Xenopus tropicalis: one gene and its partners. The protein of the gene in region 5 interacts with the protein of the main gene of each other region in a pairwise test. Links are inferred from orthologs where the notes say so. Each region holds a gene or a part of one and is shown on either strand. Other genes may lie near its edges.

Evidence for each region.
Region 1: the proteins of nmi (region 5) and mtmr9 interact in binary tests that used the Homo sapiens proteins (3 or more experiments, as listed by UniProt). The two-hybrid records come from large-scale screens. The link is inferred for Xenopus tropicalis from reciprocal best matches to the Homo sapiens genes NMI and MTMR9.
Region 2: the proteins of nmi (region 5) and ube2i interact in a two-hybrid assay, tested with the Homo sapiens proteins (3 studies listed by BioGRID and IntAct). The link is inferred for Xenopus tropicalis from reciprocal best matches to the Homo sapiens genes NMI and UBE2I.
Region 3: the proteins of nmi (region 5) and emilin1 interact in binary tests that used the Homo sapiens proteins (3 or more experiments, as listed by UniProt). The two-hybrid records come from large-scale screens. The link is inferred for Xenopus tropicalis from reciprocal best matches to the Homo sapiens genes NMI and EMILIN1.
Region 4: the proteins of nmi (region 5) and gcsh interact in binary tests that used the Homo sapiens proteins (3 or more experiments, as listed by UniProt). The two-hybrid records come from large-scale screens. The link is inferred for Xenopus tropicalis from reciprocal best matches to the Homo sapiens genes NMI and GCSH.

What each region holds. Positions count from the first base shown.
Region 1 is NC_030681.2:150,896,159-150,898,648, forward strand, and holds the end of mtmr9 (myotubularin-related protein 9), read right to left. Parts: intron 2,403-2,490; coding exon 2,239-2,402; 3' UTR 504-2,238; downstream 1-503. UniProt on the Homo sapiens protein: Acts as an adapter for myotubularin-related phosphatases. Increases lipid phosphatase MTMR6 catalytic activity, specifically towards phosphatidylinositol 3,5-bisphosphate and MTMR6 binding affinity for phosphorylated phosphatidylinositols.
Region 2 is NC_030685.2:28,777,783-28,781,735, forward strand, and holds the start of ube2i (SUMO-conjugating enzyme UBC9), read right to left. Parts: upstream 2,816-3,953; 5' UTR 2,807-2,815; coding exon 2,741-2,806; intron 2,576-2,740; coding exon 2,492-2,575; intron 1,428-2,491; coding exon 1,355-1,427; intron 1-1,354. UniProt on the Homo sapiens protein: Accepts the ubiquitin-like proteins SUMO1, SUMO2, SUMO3, SUMO4 and SUMO1P1/SUMO5 from the UBLE1A-UBLE1B E1 complex and catalyzes their covalent attachment to other proteins with the help of an E3 ligase such as RANBP2, CBX4 and ZNF451.
Region 3 is NC_030681.2:161,495,951-161,499,468, reverse strand, and holds part of emilin1 (EMILIN-1), read right to left. Parts: intron 1,951-3,518; coding exon 1,825-1,950; intron 1,545-1,824; coding exon 1,527-1,544; intron 537-1,526; coding exon 402-536; intron 1-401. UniProt on the Homo sapiens protein: Involved in elastic and collagen fibers formation. It is required for EFEMP2 deposition into the extracellular matrix, and collagen network assembly and cross-linking via protein-lysine 6-oxidase/LOX activity.
Region 4 is NC_030680.2:52,712,792-52,716,958, reverse strand, and holds the start of gcsh (glycine cleavage system H protein, mitochondrial), read right to left. Parts: upstream 2,810-4,167; 5' UTR 2,804-2,809; coding exon 2,665-2,803; intron 1-2,664. UniProt on the Homo sapiens protein: The glycine cleavage system catalyzes the degradation of glycine. The H protein (GCSH) shuttles the methylamine group of glycine from the P protein (GLDC) to the T protein (GCST).
Region 5 is NC_030685.2:76,343,486-76,347,680, reverse strand, and holds the start of nmi (N-myc-interactor), read right to left. Parts: upstream 2,819-4,195; 5' UTR 2,638-2,818; intron 1-2,637. UniProt on the Homo sapiens protein: Acts as a signaling pathway regulator involved in innate immune system response.

The DNA of each region.
Region 1 (2,490 bases), on a different chromosome or scaffold from region 5:
TTTGGATGGAAGGATTGCACCAATTAATAACACACTAACAATAACACACACCCCGGTTAGAAAGCAAAGATGTGATTGGCTGTGCTGGGCTACTACACCTGCTGCTAATTATGTGGCTTTTACTGCATTACTTTCAGGGCCACCATCAGGGGGGGCAGTCGATTCTCGCTTATGATACAGTGTTTTGGCTAGGGCCCTCTTTAAACAATTATGGGCCTGTCATTGGTGGTCAGCGGGACGCAGCAGGGAGCCAGAGGTCACAGGGGATAGCGGGAAACAGGCCATAGTATGGGGACACTGGGGGAGAACCACCAATGTTTTAGGGGGCCAGCCCAGCAGAACACAAAGCAGCCACTGGCAAGGAAAATCCTTTTATCTCCCCATTGCCCCCCCCCCCCATGCTGTTACCCTAAATCCGATAATGAATATATATACCAGAACCTGAATAGATTCTCTACTTGCTCTTATTGACAATAAATAATTAGCAACAACAATACCTGGAACAGATTGAAGTCTACTTCATTACTGTACAAACATTCTCAGTCACAAATACATTAGCTTTCCCTTTGATATTTAATACACGGATAGAGATAGAACATAACATCACCTCTACTGCTGCTGCCGAGGACCACAGCTCCCAGCATGCTCAGCCAGCCGTCGGAAACTGCAGTTTGGCAGGTCAGAAGTGTGACATCCCCTAAGGTTAGTTTAAGCATTCACAAATAATCTATTAATTACAATCACATATACGAGAAAAGAAAAGACAAACACAGGTACAACGAAGTGCAGGCAATTAGATCATTTGGGTGTTGTGCAAAATGTGCAATTTGGGAGCCTGTAGGAGTGTCTGAGGGAGAGGTAGGGGGTTTCAGAGGCAAATTCAAGTGTTCATTATGTAACATTGCCATCTGGTGGCCGAACCCCAGAACAACATATACATGTCCCAGGGGCCTATTTCTAAAACTGCAAGGAAATGTAAATGCAGGAAAATATTTAACAACAATTTCTCCATCTGTTTTTCCAGGGTTTATTCTGGACTGCAGTTTTTATAAACAGGCCCCTAGGGCTATGTAACCCGTGGCTCTCCTACTGAGAGTTGTAGTTCTGGGGAGCCACAGACTGACGATCACTGCACAAGGCAAACTAGACCTAAATAATCAAACACCAAGGAAATGGATTAAACTGATTCTATAGGGCTTATATAGGCAGGGATTTCTTATCTACACCTGTTGGCTGCCATTGGATTTGCAGCACAGGTATCTAATAGGATCACACTGATGGCACCAAAGGAGTATGTAGTGCATGCGTCACGTGTGTGTGTAAACGTGTCCCCTCCCTGTATGTTACACACTGACTGTGTATGGCAGGGTTGGGGGGCACAGTAATGCTTAAAGACCCTGATATGTGCAAAGCTTCCCCTAAACTTGCCGGAAATCTCAAATATCCAATAGCTTCCACTGAGGCTTCCCGTCACAGCACTGCCATTGGTGCTCAGCTCTACAAGCAGGAAGCCTCGGATTGGTCAATATATCTGTTTTATCCTATCACAGCCAGCCATGTAATAGGGCAGTTACTTACATTATTGATAAGTAGTAACTACAGTACAGTAAGAGAGGAGAACATACTGTGTGCAAAGAATGCCCCTGCTCTGCTTATTTGCATTTATATTTGGGTGGGTGCTGCCATACTGATTCCTTCTCCATTAATGGTTTTTTACCCATTAAATATATTGTATGGGGATATTCTATCTAGATATAGATAACTCTATACAGCCTAGAAGTTCAGTATAGCATTCCTAACACTGCAAATAGGCAGAAAAGGATTTTTATGCACACAATTAACTCCCCACTACTATACATTTCTCTCTATGCGAAAATAAACCTGTAAACTGTAAACAGTGGCATGATTACATAAGTTGCAGTTGGTCTTCATTTTGTTATTTCTTCAAACTTTCTGTTCCTGCCCTCTAATTTGGAATGTAACCCATTATTTGGTTGTTAAAGTCCCACAGTCCCAGGCAGGGGGGAAAGTAGAATGAAGAGAGAGAATAAAGAGCAACTGCAACCTTGCTGGCATAACAAGACTTAATATACAAAGTTAATATAAGGTGATAGTGTCCCTTTAAGAAATAAAGTGGTTTAAAAAGGATTGGTTGGTTTGGGGTGAGTTTGTTACTGTGGAGTCATGTAAGCATTACTGTGCCCTTGAGTGAAGCCAGAGATTTTGCCAGCATTCCCATTAGGGAGTCTCCAGCACCCCATCCTCTGTCTCCAGTTCGGCAAGCTGCCTCCGGAGAGCATTCACTTTCACTTGCAGCTCCTTGTTGTACTCGATAATGTGAGCCATCTCTTCATAGGCTTCTTCTAGGTACTTGGATGATCTGTTCCAACGCAGGAAAACACCTGATACAGGGAAGGAAGAAGAGTTCTGTCAGTCAACAGCAGAACTATTACTGGGGTGGGGGGGTAAAAAAAGGGGTCACTAACCTAA
Region 2 (3,953 bases), about 48 Mb from region 5:
TGGAAAAAGGAGAAAAGGCACAGGTTACATAGCAGATAACAGATAAGCTCTGTAGAATACAATAGTGTTTTATCTGTTATCTGCTATGTGCCTGTGCCTTTTCTCCTTTGAATGGCTGCCCCCATGGCTACACAGCAGCTTATTTATATAAATTATAGTAGACTTTCTGAAGTAAACACACAACTTTTACCAGTGCAGGGCAGCAGCACATTATATTTTAGTTACTTTTATACACTTTCATTTTTTGGTGTTACTGTTCCTTTAAAAGAAGACAAGGAGAAAAATAAGATAAGAATTGAATACCAGTCAGTAGTGTCTGAAGAACATACTGCAAGCAAACGACCATGCACAATAAATTGAGATTGATGACAAAAAAACCAAACATTAATTAGTTTGAAATTAGCTGGAGTTTGAAATGGTAGGAGGAATTATTTGCAAAGCGCACAGTGTAATAGTATTACAGAATAAACAAAATCATGATAATATCCCTTTAAGTAGAAAAAGGACATGGGATCAAGGGAGCAAATTTTGAGCAGTGCTGACACACTTCAGAATTTTAATGTCTTTATGCCCATGTTCATAATGTGACGGAGCCAGTTAGGAAAGGGGACTTATAATATTATATATATATATATATATTACAGCCATTTCTTACACTTGCTGTCACATATCCATAGGCGGTCTGATACCGCCGCCGATGCGTGTCGCATCGGTGCCTGACTGTGCTCGTTCCTGGTGAGTAGCCGATGCTGGCGCTGCTCGTCACTTTCCTATGCATAAAGCAGTTGTATCCAGGCACGTCTGAGCATTGCCGCATGTCTGAATCTGCACGTATGATGCCGCGCGTGCAGGTGGCCCACGGAGGAAGGGGTGTAGGTGCGCGCGCAGCGATCGCATTTCACCAGCATCTATGTACCGTATATATGCGAGTATGGGGCATGGGGCAGTCGGTTCGGGGACCACATCAACGAGCCGATGCGGTCCCCGATCCGACTGGATTTTCTAACCTGGCCGATTGAGATCTGGCCAATTTCAGGCCAGATATCGGTCGGCCAGGCCGCTCGGTTCTGCCCATACACGGGCCGATTAGCTGCCGAATCTTTAGTGTCAGCATACTTTTGACCATGTAGTTTACTCAGAGAGCCTTGAATCTATTATTCACCAGCACAAAAAAACAAAAACAGAGCAATTTCTAAGGTAAAGCATCATGGGAATGAGCCTTCAGAGCATTACAGTGCCAATCTTTTATCTCCATTTCCTTGGGATAGGCAATCATCACCCTGCCCTATACACATGCTTCTAACAAGAGAAGCACTGGTTTTAAAGGAAGGGATTTAGGAATTAAGGCACTTACATTTAGGAGGTGAGGAGGGATAATCATCCTTAAAAAGCATCCGTAATTTAAATAAGCCACCTTCCCAAGGGGTCTGCAAGAAGAAGAAAAAATGAAATTGCAGATATAAGTTATGGGTAGAATCACTGGTTTATAAACAGATTTAATATAGTCCATAACCAGGACATTAAACTATTTTTTTTCTCTCCAAGAGACAATATTCTTCATAGGTCACCAATTTCACTCTAGTCTTTTTTAAAATATTTTTGCAGGTACTATGGTGACAGATTGCAAAAAAAACAAACCATTCCTGCTCCTGGTAAGGAGGATTGGCTGGAGGAGCCATGAAGTGAAATTGCATGTTATTGCAGTCTGTAGTGTTTATTACAGCTCACACAGCCACTAGAGAGTTTGAACCCTTCATCTCCCCTGAGGAATATGTAGTCACACAGCAGATGGGTAGTTGTGGCTTATTTAAAAGGGAAACATTTGTATAAATAGAGTAAATCATGTTTAAATGACCAAGCGTCATTTTAGCACCAAACACAGAAGCTATTTTGCTGCCCTGCTCAGATGGGTTCCATTAAGCCCAGTGCAGCAAACCTAACTGCTGCCAATCACAATTCACCTCACTCCACTTGCAGACCCTGGGGCATTTCAGTCCCCAAAGTCAATAAACAGGAGGTTTAGTGGATATTTTTAAGCTCCATGGGCTGGATGTGGTCCTTCAAGGGATTTTAATGGCCTAGGATTCATCCACAGCCATTATAATCTGTCCTCAGACATGTAGCATAGTGCATACGTGTTAGTTCAGTGCATGAAAGGTTGTCCTTTTACACCTAAACAGCATTTACAAGCTGGTAATGTGATCAGATGTAGGATATAAAACTGCCCCCCCTGCATGTTTCCTTCGAGTGTTCCATAGGGTTGCATGTGTCACAGCCCCTGGGTGCCAGGCAATGGTGCATCCTGTAACCAAGCAAAGTGCAATACCTGCTAACTGCAGCTACACCTGAATGTAAGTGTGTTAAGGTTGTACATTGGTTATGCAAGGTTGCAGAAGGTTGCTTCACTTATTTGGCTATTTTATGGTATCAAGGGAGCACTGCTAGGTAGAAATTCTGTACTGCTGTTTCAGGGAAGGATTCTAACACTTACCCCTTTCTTGCCTGGAATAGCACATTCCCAGTTCATCAAATTCATTGTGCCATCTGGATTTTTCGTTGGTACTGCCACAAAACCCTTAAAATAGATAAGAAAAAAACCCCCAAAGTATTAGTTTTTAAGTTGTTTGCATCTTAAAAGGGCAGGGCAGTTTAACAATTTAGGATTTTTTTTTTTAAACTACTTATACTATTTCTTGAAGAGAACACTGTTCTGGTTAGTTTTTCACTTTCTTGAACTTACAAAAGGATGGTCTTTTCTCCACGCTTTTCTCTCCTGTGCAAGTCTGCTCAGGGCTATGCCAGACATTTCAGGGTTCCTGCAGAAAAGAAATTAATACTGGTGAAATAACAGTATACATAACCAAACATAGTTTAAACAGAAAATAAGCAAACTTACTGCAATGTATCCAAAAACTTGCATGACAGTGACACCTAGTGGTTGAACTCTAGTAATCTGAATATGAAACGTATATGCTTATTACCGAGGCAGTAAAGAGTCAAAAGCATTAATGCGTCCTGTAAAGGCAGTAAAACCACCACTTTTCCACATTAGTGTAAACATATATTATTCTTAGAGCAACTTTAAAAGGTAAATGTCATTTTGTAGAGTTTTGTTAACACTGGAGTATTTGTATTCTTACCTCATGGGGCAAAATTACGGTTTGTGACCATTGCAGCATAATATAAATGTAACCCTTTATATTATACGTACCACAGATATCAGGATAATAATCCAAGATACACCCTACTTGCACATCATAAACACTGTACAAGGAACCCTGCAATGCTTCCCAGGCTGTTTGGTATAACAGTCTAAGAGCGCATATAAAAGGCATATTAGTGCGGTAAGCGCAAATCCAAATGTGTAAATGGCAGCTCCTGGCCCAGCATTGAGTAGGCTGTCACAGTTAAGTCCCCCACCCACAAGGATTTTCCTTCATATTGAGATTTACATCAACACATTTCCAATGCATAACTAATATTAAATTCTGAATTCTGTCACTTGGTGACGCATGTACCAAAAGGAATCACCCAGAAAACTCATCTGGAGCCGTCAATAATTGCCACTCCCATCCTCTGAGGTCAAAACTCACACAAAGGTGTGGCACTGCTTGCTGCAGCACACACTGGGTAATGCTCTTCCTATGGTTATGGGTGCTGGCACTGGCAGCAGCGGGCTATGCCAAAGCAAGCATTTCAGAGTAGAGGCTGCCTGTCACTGCAAAGAGTTTGCTGTGCTCTGCTATGGCAACTGGACAGTTTTTGGACCACAAGTGCCAAGTTCAGCGGTGGCATGGTATGCCAGCAGAGAAAACCAACCTGTTGCCTTCCTTTCCTTTACGTGTGCGCTGACAGGTAGATTTGGGCATGAAAATTAATACTTTAGCAATTCCATGCTGCACGCGTGCCGGCAAGCTGACCCCATGCCCCCCCCCCCTCCCTCCCTGAGAAGC
Region 3 (3,518 bases), on a different chromosome or scaffold from region 5:
ATATATATATATGGGGTACAGAGGGTGTATATATATGGGGTACAGAGGGTGTATATATATGGGGTACAGAGGGTGTATATACAGTATATGGGGTACAAAGGGTATATATATAAGGTACAGAGGGGAATATGGCAGCAGAAGGCAGTGCAAATGATATTGGTGGTAGAAGGATTTGGGCACCATGTGTTGCCCCAGCGAGTGTTGCACCAGAGGGGGGCAAGTGACATTGCCTTACAGAGCGCTGGTGAGTTTCCACCTACATAGCGACTTTACCCCACCCTCTGTACCCCTTACTTCTCTTTCCCTCTCCCTTTCCCCAACAACCTTCTCTTCTTATAGACATAACGGGCCGAGCCCAGTGTGGTGGGTGAGTGTTGGTTGGCGCCCAGGGTGGCACTTACCGCTGGTCGGATCGTAGGCGTTGCCATCATTCACCAGGACTTTATCAAAGATGATGGTTCCGGGGTCCAGCTGGGGGTAAGTGAGGGCAGCGGAGAAGGCAATGTTTGGGGCAATGGCCGACTCCCCTATTGGACCTGCAGGGGACACACAAGGCACATTATTATTATAAATCAGGGTGTTCCCCTCCCTCTGGCTGATTATACATAGGGTCGAGGGGCAAACGTGATGGACTTGTATCTACCCCAGTTACTATGGATTGTTGTTGCCCTCCTGAGAGGGGTATATTGGGTACAAGGAGTGAGAGAGGGGCTCCTATTGGCTGCAGTGAGATGTTAAAAGGGCGGTTCTCCATCATGTTATAGAATGGCCTATTCCTAGCAACTTTGCAATTGGTCTTCATTATTTATTTGTTATATTTTTTGCATTATGTGCCTCTTCCTCCTCTGCCTCTTTGCAGCTTTCAAATGGGGGTCACTGACCCCGGCAGCCAAACCCTATTGCTCTGTGAGGCTCCAGTTTTATTGTTATTGTTACTTTTTATTTCCTATCTTTCCCTATTGATATTCCCATCTCTCGTTCAAACCTCTGCCTGGTTGCTAGGGTAATTAGGACCCTAGCAACCAGATTGCTGCTGAAATACCACACTAGAGAGTGGATAAACCAAAAGCTAAATAACCGAAAAAAATAAAATAACAAATGAAGACCAATTGCAAATGATCCGGGGGGGGGGGGGCAGTGCCAGGATGGAGGGGGGCTGCCGTACACACATGAAAAAAAATCCCCTTTCCTGGCGAGTTTCCATAATCAACCAGAATTAAATAGCAGGAAATATTCCCGTAAATGACAGTAATAAAGGAAACCCATTAACCCATTAAATTCAGCACAAGGCGGACCTTTCATTAAATAGTTTCCTGTCAGGCCCATAGTTCTGATTCTCTGGGGGGGCGGGGTTATCTATTTAAAGGCACACTGTCCCATTTACATTAGTGTTTAGAAAAGCGGGGGGGGGGGTCACTGGGCATTAACTGTGCCAGCTGGGCATGTAAATGAGTTCCCTATTGCCCAGGGAGGGGGCATTTATCCCACGGGGGCCATTTGCTGGGTGATATTTCCCATTGCGGTACCTTGTTCTCCTCGCAGACCTGGAGCAAAAGAGAGAGAAATAAGAATGAGATACATTAACCCCTTCCCACACGGTTACACGGGGTTATTTAGCCAATGTAAAGTCCAGTAACCCATAGCAACCAATTAGCAAGTAGCATTAACTGAAAGCAAACATCTGATTGGATGCTATGATTTACTACAATTGGGGCCTTTTAATACATTACTCTGTATATTAATGAGAAATGGGGCATTTAGGGGGTAAAAACGATATTATTTCTTATAATTATGTTTATTTCCAAAATATCCTTTATTCCTTACCTGGGGGTCCCACCGGGCCCTGTTTGCCTTGGGCACCATCTTTTCCTGAGGGTCCTGGAGGTCCTTGTGGACCTGGAACTCCTTGTTTTCCCTGAGGGCCTGGGGGGCCAGGAAGCCCGGGGGGTCCTACAATGAGAGAGGTCTCTGTGACAGCTGCATGAGGGGGGGGGGGATGTGCAAGGGCCACAGAGGGTAACTATCCATGAAACAGAAAATGGCTGAATGTGAGAAGTCTGACCTTTAGGGGGCAGTATACTCCCACGTGAGCCCAATACTGAAAGACTGGAACAAAGAGATATTGTTTTTGGCCGGCGGAGTCCCTTCCACCCTTAAACCTTCACAATCAGTGTAAAAATAGAAATAAGTTGTGAATAGTAAGCCCCTCCCACCACTGGGCGTGTCTTTAATATTAAATAGCTTTAATTCATTTGTGGGACCATGTTGTCGCCCTTCAGTATATATTGTACCTTGAAATATTGGTATATACTGGTATATATTGGGCTCACACTGGTATATATTGGGCTCGCACTGGTATATATTGGGCTCACACTGGTATATATTGGGCTCACACTGGTATATACTGGGCTCACACTGGTATATATTGGGCTCGCACTGGTATATATTGGGCTCGCACTGGTATATATCGGGCTCACACTGGTATATATCGGGCTCACACTGGTATATATCGGGCTCGCACTGGTATATATCGGGCTCGCACTGGTATATATTGGGCTCGCACTGGTATATATTGGGCTCACACTGGTATATATTGGGCTCACACTGGTATATATTGGTCTCATACTGGTATATACTGGGCTCACACTGGTATATATTGGGCTCACACTGGTATATACTGGGCTCGCACTGGTATATATTGGGCTCGCACTGGTATATATTGGGCTCGCACTGGTATATATTGGGCTCACACTGGTATATATTGGTCTCATACTGGTATATACTGGGCTCACACTGGTATATATTGGGCTCACACTGGTATATACTGGGCTCACACTGGTATATATTGGGCTCACACTGGTATATATTGGGCTCGCACTGGTATATACTGGGCTCGCACTGGTATATATTGGGCTCGCACTGGTATATATTGGGCTCGCACTGGTATATATTGGGCTCGCACTGGTATATATTGGGCTCAGACTGGTATATATTGGGCTCGCACTGGTATATATCGGGCTCGCACTGGTATATATCGGGGCTCGCACTGGTATATATCGGGCTCGCACTGGTATATATGGGCTCGCACTGGTATATTTTGGGCTCAGACTGGTATATATTGGGTTTGCACTGGTATATATTGGGCTCACACTGGTATATATTGGGCTCGCACTGGTATATATTGGGCTCGCACTGGTATATATTAGGCTCGCACTGGTATATATCGGGCTCGCACTGGTATATATCGGGCTCGCACTGGTATATATCGGGCTCGCACTGGTATATATCGGGCTCACACTGGTATATATTGGGCTCAGACTGGTATATATTGGGTTTGCACTGGTATATATTGGGCTCAGACTGGTATATATTGGGTTTGCACTGGTATATATTGGGTTTGCACTGGTATATATTGGGCTCACACTGGTATATATTGGGCTCGCACTGGTATATATCGGGCTCGCACTGGTATATATCGGGCTCGCACTGGTATATATTGGGCTCGCACTGGTATATAT
Region 4 (4,167 bases), on a different chromosome or scaffold from region 5:
AAACAGCAGAGCAGGAATGCATATTGTAAGGTCACTCCTGTGACTAAAGGTAGGCATATATGGGCAGATTTAAGTTGCTGATTTGAACCCTACAGACCAATTCAGCAGCTTATCTGCACGTGTATGGGGACCCTGGACGGGTCTACCAAACCAATATCTGGCCTAAAATTGGGCAGATGTCGATTAGGCAGTTTTGATTTTTTTTCCATCATTTTTCCCTTGCTCTGACAGGTGCTTATCCTGGCGGATTACTCCGGTGGAAAGATCCACTTGTTTGGCGTCCTCGAGCTTAAAGTCTTGGACTAAGATTGTATGCTTAACAAAACTCAACAACTCAGCAAAAGAAAAAGGACTTCACTTCAACAGATAATGCTGCCCTACCCCTTTGTCAATCATAAACAGAGAATAATATGTCATATCTTTTGGAGTAAAATATAATGCTGGGTAGACTAAACAAGTAGTAGTTGTTGCAGGTAGCAGCCTACCAATACACAATTTAATATTTAATTACATAAATAAAAATGATGTATATATGTCAAACACAAGTAAGTGATTTATGCTTTATCAAATATATTGCAGATAACATAAATGCCATGGGCATTCATTCTTTGAATACCCTGCGCACTGTTAGGGCTCTGGCAGACGGGGAGACTAGTCACCCGCGACAGATCTCCCTTGTCGCGGGCGACTAATCTCCCCGAAATTCCATCCCACCGGTGAAAATGTAAGTCGCCGGTGGGATGGCATCCGCGGCCTTGAGAGGATTTTGGGGAAATCGCGGCACTGTGTATGCCATCCCACCTGCGATTTACATACTCGCCGGTGGGATGGTATTTCGCGGAGATTAGTCGCCCACGACAAGGGAGATTTCTCGCAGGCGACTAGTCTCCCCATCTGCCAGAGCCCTTAGGGCTGTGAGACACGGGGAGATAAGTCGCTGCGCGACAGATCTCCCTTGACACGGGTGACTAATCTCCCCAAAATGCCATCCCAGCGGCTAGAATGTAAATCCCCAGTGGGATGGCATACGCGGCATGTATACCACCTCAAAATGCAAGACTGATGTCCTATTAGTATCCACAAAACAAGCAGATGGTGCTGTATTTTTACTTGAACCCAAAGTGCAGGAGGTAAATGCAAGGACTGATGGCAGGTTGTATAGCACTATAAAATTAAACTGTAATGTAGATTACTATGCATTTGACAATGTTGCTTACACCAGTGGGGATATCTTTCATGTTCTGTGCTCTGTTACTGAGGGCACAAAGAGAACAGTACCAACCAGCGGGCCCCCTGGTTTAGCCAAAAAGCATGGGGCTAAAGATCCCTTCAACGTTACCTGATCAGGTAGAGATACTGAAAATGCTATTTTTTCAGATTAATGCACATTGGAAACATTATTTAAATTTACAAATTTAAATCCTTAAAAATCCCCACATCGCCTTTAAAACAAACACTGGCACTAGGACCTGTACTGGAGCACAGGGTATATCAAAGCAGGTCTGACACTGGAATCAACAGCAAAACGCCTGGAGTAGTGCTAGTCACAGGGCTACCTAGCACATGATGTCTGTATGTTCAAATCCAGATATCCATTATAACAGTCAACAAAAGCTGGAATATTGTTTTGTTTTTTTAAATGCTTGCAGATGTCTGCAAAAATGCTCGTGAGTATTGCTCAGTTTCATTGGTATTGCACAATTTCTTGTGTTTATAGTACATTCAGGCAGCAATGGCGCATATATCTTAAATGCTTGAAAGTTGCACATGTAAGCGAGCAGCCAGCAGAAAAAGTCCATAGTCTAGAAAGCTAAGCAAAGTACAAAGTTAACACTGGGGGGTGATTTAAAGGTGATGTAAACCAAAAATTAAACTTTGCCTAATGAAAGGAAATGTAATTTAAAGAAACTTTCCATTAAATAATCATCAAATAAATCCAAGTTGTTTGTAAACGGAACTGAAAGCAGAAACCTACTGTCCCTTTCTGCACTGCTACTTCTCTCCTGAAACCCTATAGCAGGAGTCAGCCTTGCATTGTTCTTTGCAGGTTAATCAGCTGGCTTCTGCTACATTGCTTCAAAAGTCACAACCACCAGGGCAGAGGACAGGAACAGCCAGATAGATGCTGCTTTTAATAGCAGTTATAGTTACATATTAGTTCAAAACCATTGACTGTTTGGGGGGGGGGAGGCATTAATTTAAGAATATAAATATAATGAATGTGCTTTATTGTAGGATAATGAAAATATGTAAAACTCTCCATATACCTGCATGTAACTACAAGTATATTTAATGTATCATCTCACAATTACATCTATACTGGATACTGTTCCATGCATGCAGAAAGCAGCCAATCCCAAGCACAGTGGGGCATTGCATGCAGCCGGGACACAGCACAGAGAGAACCAAATAACACTGCACGGCCAGTCATTAAATACATGTAGCAAGTTATGCCGGCCACATGAGCACACATATACACAAGTAACATCCAAAAGGCTCCCTGGTTCTCATATAAGCAGGGCGGACGCGGTATGTGCACTGTCAGTGGATATATGTTATACATTATGTGCAATGACATACGTGCCTAGCAAGCTCAGATGCAGAACGAACAGGATACAACTGGATAAGTAAAGTTGCAACTTGCCGCCCAGGCGAGAAACTCACCAGAGGAGAGCAACTGGGAGCCGGTGGCCAAGCTCCTGACCAAGCACGACCTCCATACCAGGCGGCACTCCTGGGCGGGACGCCGCACAAGGGTCACTGTACTCAGGACTCTCATCGCGCTCAGCACACGCATCGCCATTTTCCTGAGCGCTGAGCTCCAGGTGCCGCGCCGATACAACGTTCCGGGTCGGCGTGAGATCAGGACAGGGGAGCGCGCATGCGCACTAAGGGGGCGGGGTTAAGGTGCTGGCATGGCTGCGTTAGAAGCGATAAAGTTGCAGGTTCTATGTAGTTGAGAATTATTAGCCCAAATACGCACATTTATATAATAGTAGCATATTAAGAAATATTTGCAGTACAGGTAACCAAAATTAACTTTTGTAACTGATCAGTTTTACAATACACGGAAAGCATTGTGATCAATCACGTTTGCATTATGCTGTGGTACCGTACAATTTACAGTTTATGGGGTTTGCACTATAAAGAATCAATCATGAAATATATTTTTAACAAATTACGAACCCTACATAAGCCAAAGGTGTAAGCTAGAAGACAAATGTGGAACAGAACAACAAGTGGCAGTTGTTGTTGAGCACATAATCCTTGTGAGAAAAATTCTATTCCTTAAAAGTACTTGCCTCCATAGCCAATTTCTGCTCTATTAACTGGAATTTCAGCATTTAAAGGGGCACTGAAGCTCCCCTGTTCACAGGGCCACTCCTGCAATGAGGAGGCCCCAGAAATGTCATTGCCTGAAAGCCACTTTTTATGCAAGAAAGTAGTTTATTTGCTTTAGTAGCCACTGATTGACATGGTAATGGTTTATTATTCATAAAAGTCCCCAGATCCTTTCCAATTATGGATGCCCACAACACAATACCATTTAGTGTACAGCTTCCATTTATGTTATTAGTGCATAACCTTGCACCTATTAACATGTAACTTTATTTCCTAATTTGCTGCCTAGTTTTCCATTTTAGTCAAATCTCTGAGCAAAGTGGCAGCATCCCGCATAGAAATTATAGTTTCATACAATTTATTATCATTAGCAAAAATAGAGATAGTACTTACACAATTCCCACCTCAAGATTATTAATAAACAAATGAAAAAGCAGTGCCAAGGTACTCCACTAATAACACTTGTCCACAGGCTAGGACAGGGTCAGCAGGACTACAGGAGAAAACCTAGCGGGCCCAGGCTCAAACCTAGGCCCACTGCCTGCCTGGTGTGGCAAAAGTACACAGTGGGGTGCTTGAAAACCTGAAGTGTAATGCATTGTATATAACAGATCCTATTTCTATATGGTAGATTATGTCCTTATGCTTTGCCTGCCAGATATGGCATATCAAATGTTATTTACTCTAAGGACAAGTTAAGGATTCATCACTGGGGTATGCTAGTATTATTAACTCAGACCCTTGGTTCGACTAAAAAATTCACTTGCCCAGGTCGGTATTCTAGAGAACACCACGTTTCTATCTTGTGAATTGGATCCAACATGG
Region 5 (4,195 bases):
GTTATTGGCAGGTCCAGGCAGCTGGAATATCCAGAGTCCCCTTGTGCAAGTATCTGTGTATTTCATCGCAGTAGGCTAAAAGGGAGCATTTGCTGTTCCCACAAGTTGCAAAGGACCATGTCTGGGCCAAATCACTTTCTGAATATCATCAATGTATCCAAACTAGCATCCTGCACTTGCATTCAAAAGTAATAGCCACAGAGATACAGCAAATGTGCGGAAAGTGGGAAACGTACTTTATAATGCAGAAGGGAAAGAGATCACAAAGAATCCTACAGAAATATAGTTTGGAAGTTCTTTCTCTTTTCACTTTACAGGTAAACACATTCCAATGAGCTTGACTTTCATTTAACTTCATAACAGAGAGAAAAGTTACTGAGCCTTCTGTACCTGTAACCCTTGTAGGGACCTGAGGGCACCCCCAGGCAGTCGGTTTACTGTCATTTATAACAAACAAGGGGAGGTTGTGCCCACCACTAAATATTAAGCCATTAGGCGGGGGTGCAATGAGGCTGTGACCAGAGGGGGGGGCATTGCTTGGTAACAATGTACAAAATGTCTTAATGTTCTGTATATATTGATAATGGGTGAGTGGAAAGGACCTCTTGTCGCTGCCTGTATACGTTTTTGTAATTTGCCATAAAGTCTGACTGCGAATTTCACATGATAACAATCAGGAAGCGGTAAAAAAAGGTTAAAGGACCTCAACCCCCTCAAATAATTTTTGCCTAATGAAATAAAATTAGAATTATATTTTCTTTTATTAGGAAAACATTATTTTTGGGTAAATGTGATGTTTAAAGAAGACATATTAGATAAATGAAATAAAAACCCTCTAATTCTGTAGGCAGTTATGAATAATACAGTATATGGTGCTGGTTTCACTTTGGTCGAAAAATGAACATTATCTATAAAAATGGCCCCTTTGTTGGAGCTCCCTATAGAGCAGGGATCCCCAACCTTCTATACCTGGGAGCTACATTCAAATGGTGTTGGGAGCAACGCAAGCATGGAAAAAATTCCTGGGGTGCAAATAAGGGCTATAATTGGCTATTTGGTAGCCCCTATGTGGATTGGCAGCCTATAGAAGGCTCTGTTTGGTTTTACACTGAGTTTAATGCAACCAAAACTTGCCCCCAAGTCAGGAATTCAAAAATAAGCCCCTGCTTTGAGGCCCCTGGGAGCAACATCACAGTCTGTGTTTCAAATGAGGGGTGGGCGTGTTCTAATTAGGGATGCAAGATTTGCGAAACGCCAAAAAAAAAAAAAATCCTTTTGACGCGGACGACAATTCTTTTGATGTACGACAATTTGTTTTGATGCAGGTGACAATTTTTGGACGCACTGCAAATTTTTTCATCTGTTTCGCAAAAAAATCCGCCAATGGTGAAATGCCGAAATTCGCTGCGAATCAATGCCTGGTGAAACATTTCGCCCATCACTAAAGGACAGGCTTCAGGTCAGCCTAGCTGCTGATTGGTTCCTATCCTACAGTGCAGTGTGCTGAGTGCTGTGAGCCCCCCTGCACAGCCTGGGAAAGGAGCAGCAGGAAGTGGAACAGATGGGCGGGACTAGTGTCAGACTGGCCTATCAGGATACCAGGAAAACTCCCGGTGGGCTCTCCTGCTCCTGACCATTTGGCCTGTTTCATGGTCATTCCCTATTTCTGAATGAAAACAAAGAGGAGAAATAGATGGAAGAATAGATGCTAGCATGTAAATAAAAGAGACTAGGAGACAAGGAGAAAAACTGTTTGGAGAGTGGGCCTAGGGTGTAAGGTTTTCAGGTGGGCCCCTGGGTTCTCAGCCCGACACTGGGCGGGACTAGTGGGGTTTTGGGGTAATTTCTAAATAAATCAGCTCAAAACACTACTTTTTTAAGCACAATCCTTCTATAGGAGGAGAACATTCTTCACTTTAACAAGAAATGTCTCAATTAAATAAAAAATGTAGAGAAACCACAAAAGTATTGTGTATTAGTGGCAGACATGCAGCTCTGCTAAACCAATGTAGCCATTAAAGGAGACATATTGGATAAATGGGAAAAAAAGGTAATTTTGTAGGCAATTATGAATAATATCCGGTGCTGGTTTCCCTTTGGGCTAAACATTAACCCTATCTGTAACAATGGCCCCTTTATTGGAGCTCCCTATAGATCCTCTCACTTCTCTGTCCGAGTTTGAAATGAAGAGTGGGCGTGTCCTAACGGTCCCTGCCAGAAGCACAGTAGGAGGGGGAGAGCCAATCACAGCCCTGCAGTCACACAAGCACAGACAGGCTTCAGTTCCCTATCAGGTCAGCCTAGCTGCTGATTGGTTCCTATCCTACAGTGCAGGGTACGGAGGGCCGCCAGCTCCCCAGCTCATCCAGAGAATTCAGCCAGCAGGAAGTGGCACAGATGGGCGGGGCTAGTGGGCTTTTTCTGGAATTTCTCAAAAAATCATTTTGAAACACAACTTTTTAAGCCCAATCCTTCTATATCTAGAGGAGTATAATTCACTGGTACAGTCATAATTTTTATAGGATATGTCTCCTTTAAGGTCCCACCAGTCTGGTTAGTAACATAACAGCCATTAGGCAGAATGCTCACTCATACACCCAGTCACAGCCCTACAGGGAGGGGGAGGCAGTTGCTTACCCAGCGCAGCGCAGTCTGTGCTCAGGAGTCGCAATCCCGACTGTCCAGGAATATTCCCAGCGATAACCTTAACTTCTGAGAAAATTTTCAAATGTATTATCTGTGTGTGTCTGGTAAGGATTCTGTCTAATAAACGAGCTGAGATATTGTGTGTCCTTCCGTTTCTCCTGAATAGAAACCGAATGTAACTACGGCTGCGCTTTCACTTTCTCTTTGTTACATATAACTCCCCCATACAGCGCTGTCTCTGCGTCTGAGCCGCTCACGGAGGGACTGGACATGTCAGGTGGGTGCTTTCTGCTTGCTACAAAGTCGCAACGTCCCTTTTAACTGGAATATAGTATAGAAAGAAAGAGAGTCCTGCGACTATGTAAAGAGAGAGTCGGAACAACAGAGTTGGATCTAACTGGAGTCACAATAATATAGGGAACTTTTCTGAAAAATTGTGATTTTGTGAATCACAAATGGAGTGTCATATAAAACAGATTTATTATTGTTAATATAGAGGGGGGTAGATGTTTAGGGTATGAATGTGGGGTTCAGCCCTTGTGAATATGGATTAATTCTTATAGCAGCTGAGGGTCTTGTTTGAAATCATTACTGCTTATTATACTATAGATAGGGGCACCCACTATGGGAATATTAAGGATATCAGAGCTTAGGAATCATCTAAGGGTGAAGACACACAGAGCTACTAGTAGCAGCTACTTGTTGTGGCTACTAAAATAGACAATGCTGATCATTTACTGATACTTATCTCTAGGTGTGTTTTAGCAGAGGCAATTCTCAGTATTGTCTATGGCAGGGGATTTTCTGGTGTTTAGTAGCCGTGACAAGTAGCTGCTACTCAGTAGCTCTGTGTGTCTTCACCCTAACAGTTACAGGACAATACAGGTATAGATCTGCTATCTGCAATACTTGCAGCCTGGGGTTTTCTGGATAATGAGTCTATTAACAACACCAATGTTTATGCAGCTGATTTACCTTCATAGAAACAGCACAGTTTTAATATGAAATAAGGAACAGGAAATAAGACCAGCGGCAGACCGAGCCGGACAGGTGCCCTAGGCAAGCCAGCTGCCCACTTTGCCCCCACTGTGCCTGCACAAACAAGCAAGTGTGTGTGGACATTGGCTACTTGGGCAGAAGGGAGATAAAGAGCAGCCAGTGGGGGAACAAGGGCCCAAACTAAGGGTACATGGGGTACATGCCTATTGCCCCCCAATCATGGCACCCTAAGCCTGTGCCTCCTGTGCCTACCCCTAGTTCCGGCCCTGAATCTGACACTGTATAAGATAGGTTTGCTTATGGAATATGGAGCTTTCTGGATAAAGAGTTCCTGGATATTAGATTCAATACTTATACAAAGGCACAAGGCTGCCTGCCAAGCAAGGACTTTTATACCCAATAAATAGTTTCAGGAAGGGATTATTATTATTGCACAGCAGGTAAATACACAGATAAATACGCACCTATTCTGCATTACCTCCACCAGCAGTACATAGGGAAACAATACTAGCACCGGGGCACCGGGTGGGGCCAATACGGCTTTGTACAC